2 linked regions of the Oryzias latipes genome follow. The protein of the gene in region 1 interacts with the protein of each later gene in a biochemical or structural test. Links are inferred from orthologs where the notes say so. Each region holds a gene or a part of one and is shown in the gene's direction. Other genes may lie near its edges.

Region 1 (3,954 bases):
TTTCTGGAGGGAACTGAGGAGAATCAAAAAACACTAAGCTCTGAAAATAGAGGAAAAGGTTTCAGACAGCTGTGTGATGAAGAGCAACCATCACCAGACGAATCGCATTTCCTGCAAAAACGCCACGGGGAAGCTCTTCCTGTTTGCTGCCGTCCTCCAGCTGCCTGAGATGACGCGGCTGCAGCAACAAGGCGAATCCCACGCCGCTGCTCCTTCAGGACTGGGGGGTCAGCAGCACCTTCTCGTGGAGTGGAGATGGTGCTTCAGCGCCATCCAGAATATTCTTCCCTGAGTTTGAAGATGAAGCAGTCAAAGACCCGTGAAAATGATGTTTGTGGTGTTTTTCTGATGCTGGACTTTGGATCGGCCTTCCTGACCCTTTCTTTATTCAGATCCTTGTGAATCAGGAGCGGATGACAAAACGTCCTTTGATCAAGCTTTGAGCGGTGACATAGAAGCCTCCAGGCTCCGCCCCCTTCTGCAGACCAACAGATCCATGAAGGTCTCAGTTTTCCTGGTCTGAGCCGGAATCTGGATCTGAACTGGACGGATGGATGGATCTGATGTTGCTGCACCGCTAATGCTAGCTTGGGGGTGTGAGGGGCTGTACGCTAGAGGGGGAGAGTATAAACAAAAGGATGATGGGAAATGAGGGCAGGCTTACTCTGCACCAATAGTCCCACCCACAACCCAGAGGTGAATTTCTGATGAACTCCTGGCACTCTGCAGAAACTAAGTCCAAGAAAACGACCCAGATGTTTGGATTTTGGCTAAAAACAGTAACATCATCGTGAAAAGACTTTAGATCAGAAGAGGATTGGAGCGGGACTTTGACATTTCACAGTGACGGTCATGTTTGTCAACCAAACCTCTAGAAGAATGTGTTCAGAGGATTCTTTGTGTTTCATTGTCCTGCAGAAGGTTTGGCTGTAGACTTCATGTTTCTGACCTCTGACCTCTTCCTGTACTCAGCAGAAGATCTTTACCAACAGTAAAATGTTCAATAAAAGCACAAATCCATCGTGCAGTAACGACGCAGCTGTTGTGCTGCAGTGTCAGAAAAACAGCCTTTCTCCGCTACTTCATCCAGAAATCGCCTCCTGAAAGCTCCCACGCCCCCTGAAGGCAGCACGTCGTGTCTTTACGTCAGTGCGTGATATCCTTCCGCGTGGGTGAAACGCGCGGTCCTTTCCCTCCCGACGATTCAGGATGCGGATGGGCGGCTGCGGAGCTTCGACGCGCTGCTGTTTGCCTCGATCGTAAACATTTCCCCGCATCATCCGAGTCAGAAGCACCGAGCGAACACCGGAGAGCTCCCGCCTTTTCCGCAGCGAACCGAGTTCGCCCCGACGGCACCGACTGAGCACCGTGGAAGAAATATAATCCGCTGCGGCGGTGCGCGGCTACAGAACGTGTGAGAGACGAGAGCGGCGGCGGCGGCATGGAGCTCATTACCATCCTGGAAAAAACGGTCTCTCCGGGTAAGCGCCCACTCGCCCGTCCGCTGTTTGGGCTCCGGTTGGCGGTCCGGGTCTGCAGGAAGGACACCGGGCAGATGCTAGCTGGCAGGGCTAACGGTGCTAAGGCTCCGGCCTGAGTCGGGACTCGTCATTCGTGCGTTGCCGGTGCAGTTGGAACCCCGCCACCAGCAGGTAAAGTCCGGTAAATTTGTGGCCCTCAGCGGCGGGGAAGTTTCCGGTTTGCGGTGGCGAGCAGGAGCGCAGGCTGAAGCCGCAGGACCGGTTACCGGAGCGACCCTGCCCATCCATGCCATGCCGGCGCGGCGGCTGCTTTAGCCGTTAGCTTAATGCTAGCAGCCGCTTCCTTCTCGAGCCTCAGCGTCCTCGCGGGAGCGTTCAGCGGGCGCGTTAGGCTGCCAGCACTTGGCTGTTGAAGGCCGGTTCGGCTGGGTTCGGCGGCTGTCTGGAGAACCAAACGGACTCCTAACGAGCGCCTTTAGCAATGCTAGCATGCTAATCTAGCGCGCTTTACCCGTGGTTCAGACGCAGTCCGTGAACGCATCGTGCTCTGTTTTCAGGTCCGCGGCCCACGTGGGCCACTGATTAGGTGATGGCGGAAATGTCCGGGCCGACCCGGCCCGGGCGTCGGTGCGGCTGCAGGCCGGCCGGCGTTGGCTGACCTCTGCCCTCTCTCCGCAGATCGGAATGAGCTGGAGGCGGCGCAGAAGTTTCTGGAGCAGGCGGCGGTGGAGAACCTGGTAAGTTCGGTCTGCGGGGCGGTGCGGGGCGGCCGGGCGAACGGAGCATCCGTGATCAGCTGGCGCACGCGCACTCACTCAGTGAGCTCTGACGTCTCCCCCAAAGACCTGTGTTTCCCCTAAAGTCCAGTAATCCAGAGGAGGTCCGGAACCCCCTTCTTGATGGTCAGACTAGGATCAATCCCACAATGCTTTGCAGTCACGGGAGTGAAGCCATAAGCACTTCTGCTCTCCGTCCTCCGGTCATGCTAACAGATGTGGGTTTACCTGCTAGCATGACGCGGCATCATGTGACCTTTTTGGAACCAGGAAGTCCCGCCTGTGCCGTTACTGTGATGCTCAGACTGTATGTAATGATGCTGCAAAGCATGATGGGAGAGATTTTGGCTGCAGGCAGAGTCTGGACTAGAACCCTGAAGTGGCTTCGGTCTCAGGACCTCCTTTGGGTTTGGGGGCGGGCCTTCAGGTTTTCGTTCCACGGCGGTCCGAGCCTGAAGGCCCCCCGCTGATGTTCTCGTTCTCTCTCTCTCTCTCTCTCCCCCCCCCAGCCCACCTTCCTGGTGGAGCTCTCCAAGGTGTTGGCAAACCCGGGGAACACGCAGGTGGCCCGGGTGGCCGCGGGCCTGCAGGTGAAGAACTCCCTGACCTCCAAAGATCCTGACGTGAAGACGCAGTACCAGCAGAGATGGCTCGCCATCGACGCCAATGCTCGCCGCGAGATCAAGAACTACGTAAGTGCTGCTGAAGGCGGCTGTCTGAGCGGGGGGCGGAGCTTACCGGGTCCGTGTTTCTCCTGCAGGTCCTCCAAACTCTGGGCACAGAGACGTACCGGCCCAGCTCCGCCTCGCAGTGCGTCGCCGGCATCGCCTGCGCTGAGATCCCGGTCAACCAGTGGCCCGAGCTGATCCCTCAGCTGGTGGCCAACGTGACGGACCCGTCCAGCACCGAGCACATGAAGGAGTCCACGCTGGAGGCCATCGGCTACATCTGCCAGGACATTGTGAGTGACGCGTCCCGTCACGTGGGACCTGCCGGGCCCTCTCCAGGTTCTGGAGGGTTCTGGGCCCCTCCCACTGCTGCATGGCCTCATCGATATCAGACGGCGGTTTGTCCTCCATCCTCTGGTTTCTCTACGTTCCCGGTTCCTCAAAGCAGCAGACGCTTCGGTCGTTGCCGTCTGCGTCCCGGTTCGGGTTCGGACCGATCACGTCAGGAACCTTTGGTTCTTGTGGGATCAGAACCCGTCCTTCAGAGTCTCAGCAGGCGGCCCGATCCGTACGTTTGTCAGAACCTCCAGGATCTCGCTGCAGTTTTTTCTTTAGGGTAGATATTTTTCAGGAAGGAAGAAGAAACTTGAATTTAAGCTCCGCCTCCATGAGACGTCAATAAACAGAGCAGAATGTTTCAGCGTGAAAAGTGACATTTAGCCACAAAGTGGAAGTTTGTTTTCAGTTTTTATTCAAATGTGTCTGTTGGTCATTTGAACTTTGACCTCTGAGGTCTGAAATTCAGCTTCAAGCAGAGATTAATGGATGTCTCAGGTATTGATCACGTGGACTAAACGCTCAGATCAATAAAGAGGATCAATCAAACTGCTGAGGTTCTTCAGCTTCGTAGGGTTAAGCCGGTAGAACCAAGTCGGAGAATCGCTGCGTCCAGAACCGGCGCCGCTGCGTCCAGAACCGGCGCCGCTGCGGCCGATTTAAAATGGTGAATCGAGTTTTTCTGGTTTGAAA
Region 2 (4,288 bases), on another chromosome or scaffold:
TGGGAATAAGAAAATAAGAAACCAAGAGCATTAAGGGAAAGCTTTTGGGTTTTGAGGATATACATTTATATATAGATATATAAATAGATATCTATATATCTATCTATCTATATATATAGATAGATAGATATATGATATATATATTTTTATTCAAAATGTGTTTGTCTTCTGAAACAAAATGATATTGATTTAATGACTTGTACCAAATCAGTGAGAACTTAACCCTTGTGCTTTCCTGTGGGGTCCAGATGACCCGATCCTTACATTGACGTGTTCTTCCTACCATGACAAAGGTGGATTAAGGTGAATAGGATTTCATGTAATCCATGGACACCAGTGAAATCATTGAAGAAAAAATGTTCAGCGCACTGTCTTGTGGGGTCTAGATGACCCAACTCCCAATGTTAAAGTGACTCAGATAGCACAAAGGTTACAGCAGATTTATTAGTTCCCAAATGAATAAAGTAAATCTCTCATGTTGATGTTTTTTTTAATATTGGAACTTCAAATAAATGTAATTTTTATGAAGATTTTGGGTTTAAGGTGTTAAATATAAATATTCATAAAATATTATGGAAAAGTATAGTCATTTCCATGATTCCATTGAAAACATTGTCCAGATTAAAATAGTTTAAAACATCCGTGCCCCGCAGAATTTGGACAGATTTCACCACAGTATTCAGATTTACTAAAAGTTTGTTTTCGTGGTTTTAATGAGGTGGAACCCAAATTTATGTAAAAATAAATAAATATTAGAAATCAATTAAACAGTACACTATATTCAATTTTTAGATCTAATTATCCAAATGAATAGACTTTTCCATGATGCTCTATTTTTAAAATGGTATTCAATAAAAATCGTGATACTACTGATAATTTTGTAGTTGTAATATCGAATATAATGGCAACATGGTGTGAAACTGGGAATTACATTTTTAGCATTGTATTGTAGAGAAAAAAGACAGTTCTCCGATCTAGAATGCCTTACTTCTTAATACTATGCCAAAATTGAGCAATCCTATTCCCTTTTTTTATTCAGATTTTGACTGCCTTATGAGAAATAGCATAAACTAATTCATTATATATATATATATATATATATATATATATATATATATATATATATATATATATATATATATATATATATATATATATATATATATATATATATATTATATAATATAGTATAATAGTACATAGTATAATATATAATATATATATATCTAATATATATATAATTTTATTATAATAAAAAGAATTTAGAATTTTACAATTCCCTAATGAAAACTCCTTAAGAAATGATGCGACATGGATAGGGTTTTAGTGAAATGACATATTTAAGTTTAGGTGATCACGAATCAAACGTCTGCCTTCCTAAACATGAGCAGACGTGAGTCGGTATAATGCGGTGTCTTCTGCACACAGACGTGAGCGGTGAAACCAATGAGAGTGAGGGGGATTTCCCCACCCTTCCCTTACGCCAGAGCGAGGCTGCCCTCTACCACCGGCATTCCCAGTATGCACCGCGGACCGAGCAGCAAAAAATAGTCCACTAACGAAAGACTGCGAAAAGGGAACCAGAAACAGATAGCTTACCGGCTAAAACTCTGTCCAGTAATATTTAACGTAATCAGAACTACTAACATGGCCGACAACGAGAAACTGGACAACCAGCGACTAAAGAATTTCAAGAACAAGGGCCGAGATTTGGAGGTAAAAGTTGCGAAGATCGGTGTCCTCGCTTTCGTCTGCACAGCCGCCGCGCTCAGCCTTGCCCCTCGGCTCCGTTGTGACGTCGTTTCTAATTTACACCACGGGCAACTTTGCTGCCAGAAACTGGCGAGGGCCTTCAGAAATCAGTGTTTATTGGAGGCTGGAATCGTTGGGTCAATTTCGAACTGGTTTCGTTTTATCCCGAAACCGTGTTGGGTGTAAAACATGTCAGAAAAGCCTCCGCTGGATCAGCTCTGCTAGCCACCAGCTAGCAAGGCCTCCGGGAACATGCTAACTCCACTGATGCATATCATCCCCCAGTTCGGTCTCGCTCGGTCAGAAATGTTAACAGCTTGCATACAATTATTTACAAAGTACTTTTACGTTATCTTCTGAGAATGTGGTGTTAAGTTAAGCTAAAACAACGACAGATGTTCGTACTTCTAACATTGCAGTTAGCCCAACTGCGTGCTAGGTTAGCGCGGCGGTGCTGTTGGCTGCAGTTCCACCCATCCCCCGTCTTTATAATCAAAAACAATGGCGGAAACAAGTAAGCTTCTAACATGACCACTTATATTAGGCTCAAGTCCACACCAATAGTAATATAGTTCTATTTTATGCGTTAATAGGACGTATTCTCAGGAGAGCAGTCTCCCCTTAACACGTTTACTACATGATTCATAGATCAAAGCTGGACGTTGGTTCATCATGTCGGATCAATAAGTTACCAGGTGATTTACAGTCAGGTCAACGCGTAGCTGTTAATGCATTCCAGCTAGTATTGATATCGGTTTCAGGTGGGGTTGCAGACGCAGGAAACCACGCATCCTGTTTGAGAAGGTACATATATGTTGCGAGGGGGGCGTCGATGATTGTTACGTTAATTATTCGACTTTCAACTCGAGAACCGCGCGTGAAATTCGTTTCTCCAATGATAAACTTTAAGCATCAACACCAAGGTTCAATACTTAATGTAAATAACTTCTAATGCATGCAAAGGTTCACGAGGAATTGAGTCAACAAACATTGTCAATTTGCATTTACTTTGCCTCCACTGTGTGCATCTGACGTAGAATTGTTTCAGAGGGCGGCGGCCACGTGGGACAGTAAAGCTGCACCTTTACCGTGAATAGAAACACATCTAATGTCACATCATGCACTGCAACCTGTAGACATATCCGCTTCTGAAATAAATTTGGCTTGATGTAATTACTAAGCTGGTAGCTGAGGGAGGAAGTGCGTGCGATTTTCAAGATGTTTTTAGTGGGTTACCAGATCACTTCTCTCATTCATAGTTCTATTTTAAGTCATCTCTGTCATATGACATTAATATGTTTACTATTTTTGGTCAGTGTTATCACTAATAAAACAACTGACTGTGTGGACACAATTGAGACATAACTGGTCATAGTGAGGATCCTAACAAACTATGGTTTTAATATTTGCAACAGGTTTTGCTTGACTAGAAATCGAATAAAGTAATGGGTAGATGAATAATCTTGTATAGGAAAACCCTAAAAGTGATCCTTAAGGTCTTCTTCCAGTCATGTTGTTTTGTTGTAACTATTAACCTGCTTTTTCTTTTTTATTGAAAAAGCTTGCTATACTACCATTTCCTAAAAATGCAGTTCCCATTTTTGCCATTTTACTTTTTTTTCTTTTTGCATATGATACAAATATGTCAAAAAAGAACAATGAAACCTGAAAATGTAAAAATGATGTATCGGTCAGGTACTGTAGTTCTTAAAGCTGAGTTACATTTAGTCAGACTTGTGATACTCATTTGTAGTTGCAGACCTCTGCTTTATAGATGCTGTAGACTTAATGCCCAGACGACCTGCATCATCAATACCCGAATATACACAGTACCCTGATATTCTCATTTATTTCTCTAAATTTGTTTGGAAGGTTGAAATTTCCTAATTTAACTAAATTTAATATTTTCCTTGCAGACGATGAGAAGACAAAGGACTGAGGTTGTCGTGGAACTTCGAAAGGTAAATAAACTCTTTACTTAAGCCATTATTTAATTAATATTGCAGAATGCTCTCAGAATTGAATATTCAGCTATATTTTATATATACTTTGCAGTAACATAAATGGATGATTAGTGAAGTGAGCTCACTAACTTTTTCATTACAGAACAAAAGGGACGAGCATCTGCTGAAGAGGAGAAATGTTCCCCACGAGGACCTCTGTGAGGACTCTGATCTTGATGGAGATTTCAGATCAGTGAGTTTATCTTTCAAATATTCCTTTTTTACACCATTATTCAGAAAAACCATATATTGCATGTTTGAATTGCAATACTACTATTAGCAACAGGGATGACAGCTTGTCAGATATGGTATAGACTGAATTTGTACTGAGATTTTGTACATTTTTGGAAAGTCTTCAGATGCTGAGCAGGTTAGGTTTAGACTTTTGCATTTAGGATGCTGCTTTATTTTGTACTGACTAGGTGGGGCAAGATTGTTTCAAAGTGTGCAGTTTGTCTTGCTATGTACTCATTTTTCTTGATCAATGTGCACAAAAGCTTCAGTTGTTGCTCAAGATACTTACAGGCACAAAG

Evidence for each region.
Region 2: the proteins of kpnb1 (region 1) and kpna4 form a complex in vitro, tested with the Homo sapiens proteins (2 studies listed by BioGRID and IntAct, with this or other methods). The link is inferred for Oryzias latipes from reciprocal best matches to the Homo sapiens genes KPNB1 and KPNA4.

What each region holds. Positions count from the first base shown.
Region 1 is NC_019866.2:174,199-178,152, reverse strand, and holds the start of kpnb1 (importin subunit beta-1), read left to right. Parts: upstream 1-1,153; 5' UTR 1,154-1,441; coding exon 1,442-1,481; intron 1,482-2,159; coding exon 2,160-2,218; intron 2,219-2,766; coding exon 2,767-2,949; intron 2,950-3,017; coding exon 3,018-3,218; intron 3,219-3,954.
Region 2 is NC_019871.2:13,522,549-13,526,836, reverse strand, and holds the start of kpna4 (importin subunit alpha-3), read left to right. Parts: upstream 1-1,485; 5' UTR 1,486-1,647; coding exon 1,648-1,716; intron 1,717-3,668; coding exon 3,669-3,713; intron 3,714-3,858; coding exon 3,859-3,948; intron 3,949-4,288. UniProt on the Homo sapiens protein: Functions in nuclear protein import as an adapter protein for nuclear receptor KPNB1. Binds specifically and directly to substrates containing either a simple or bipartite NLS motif.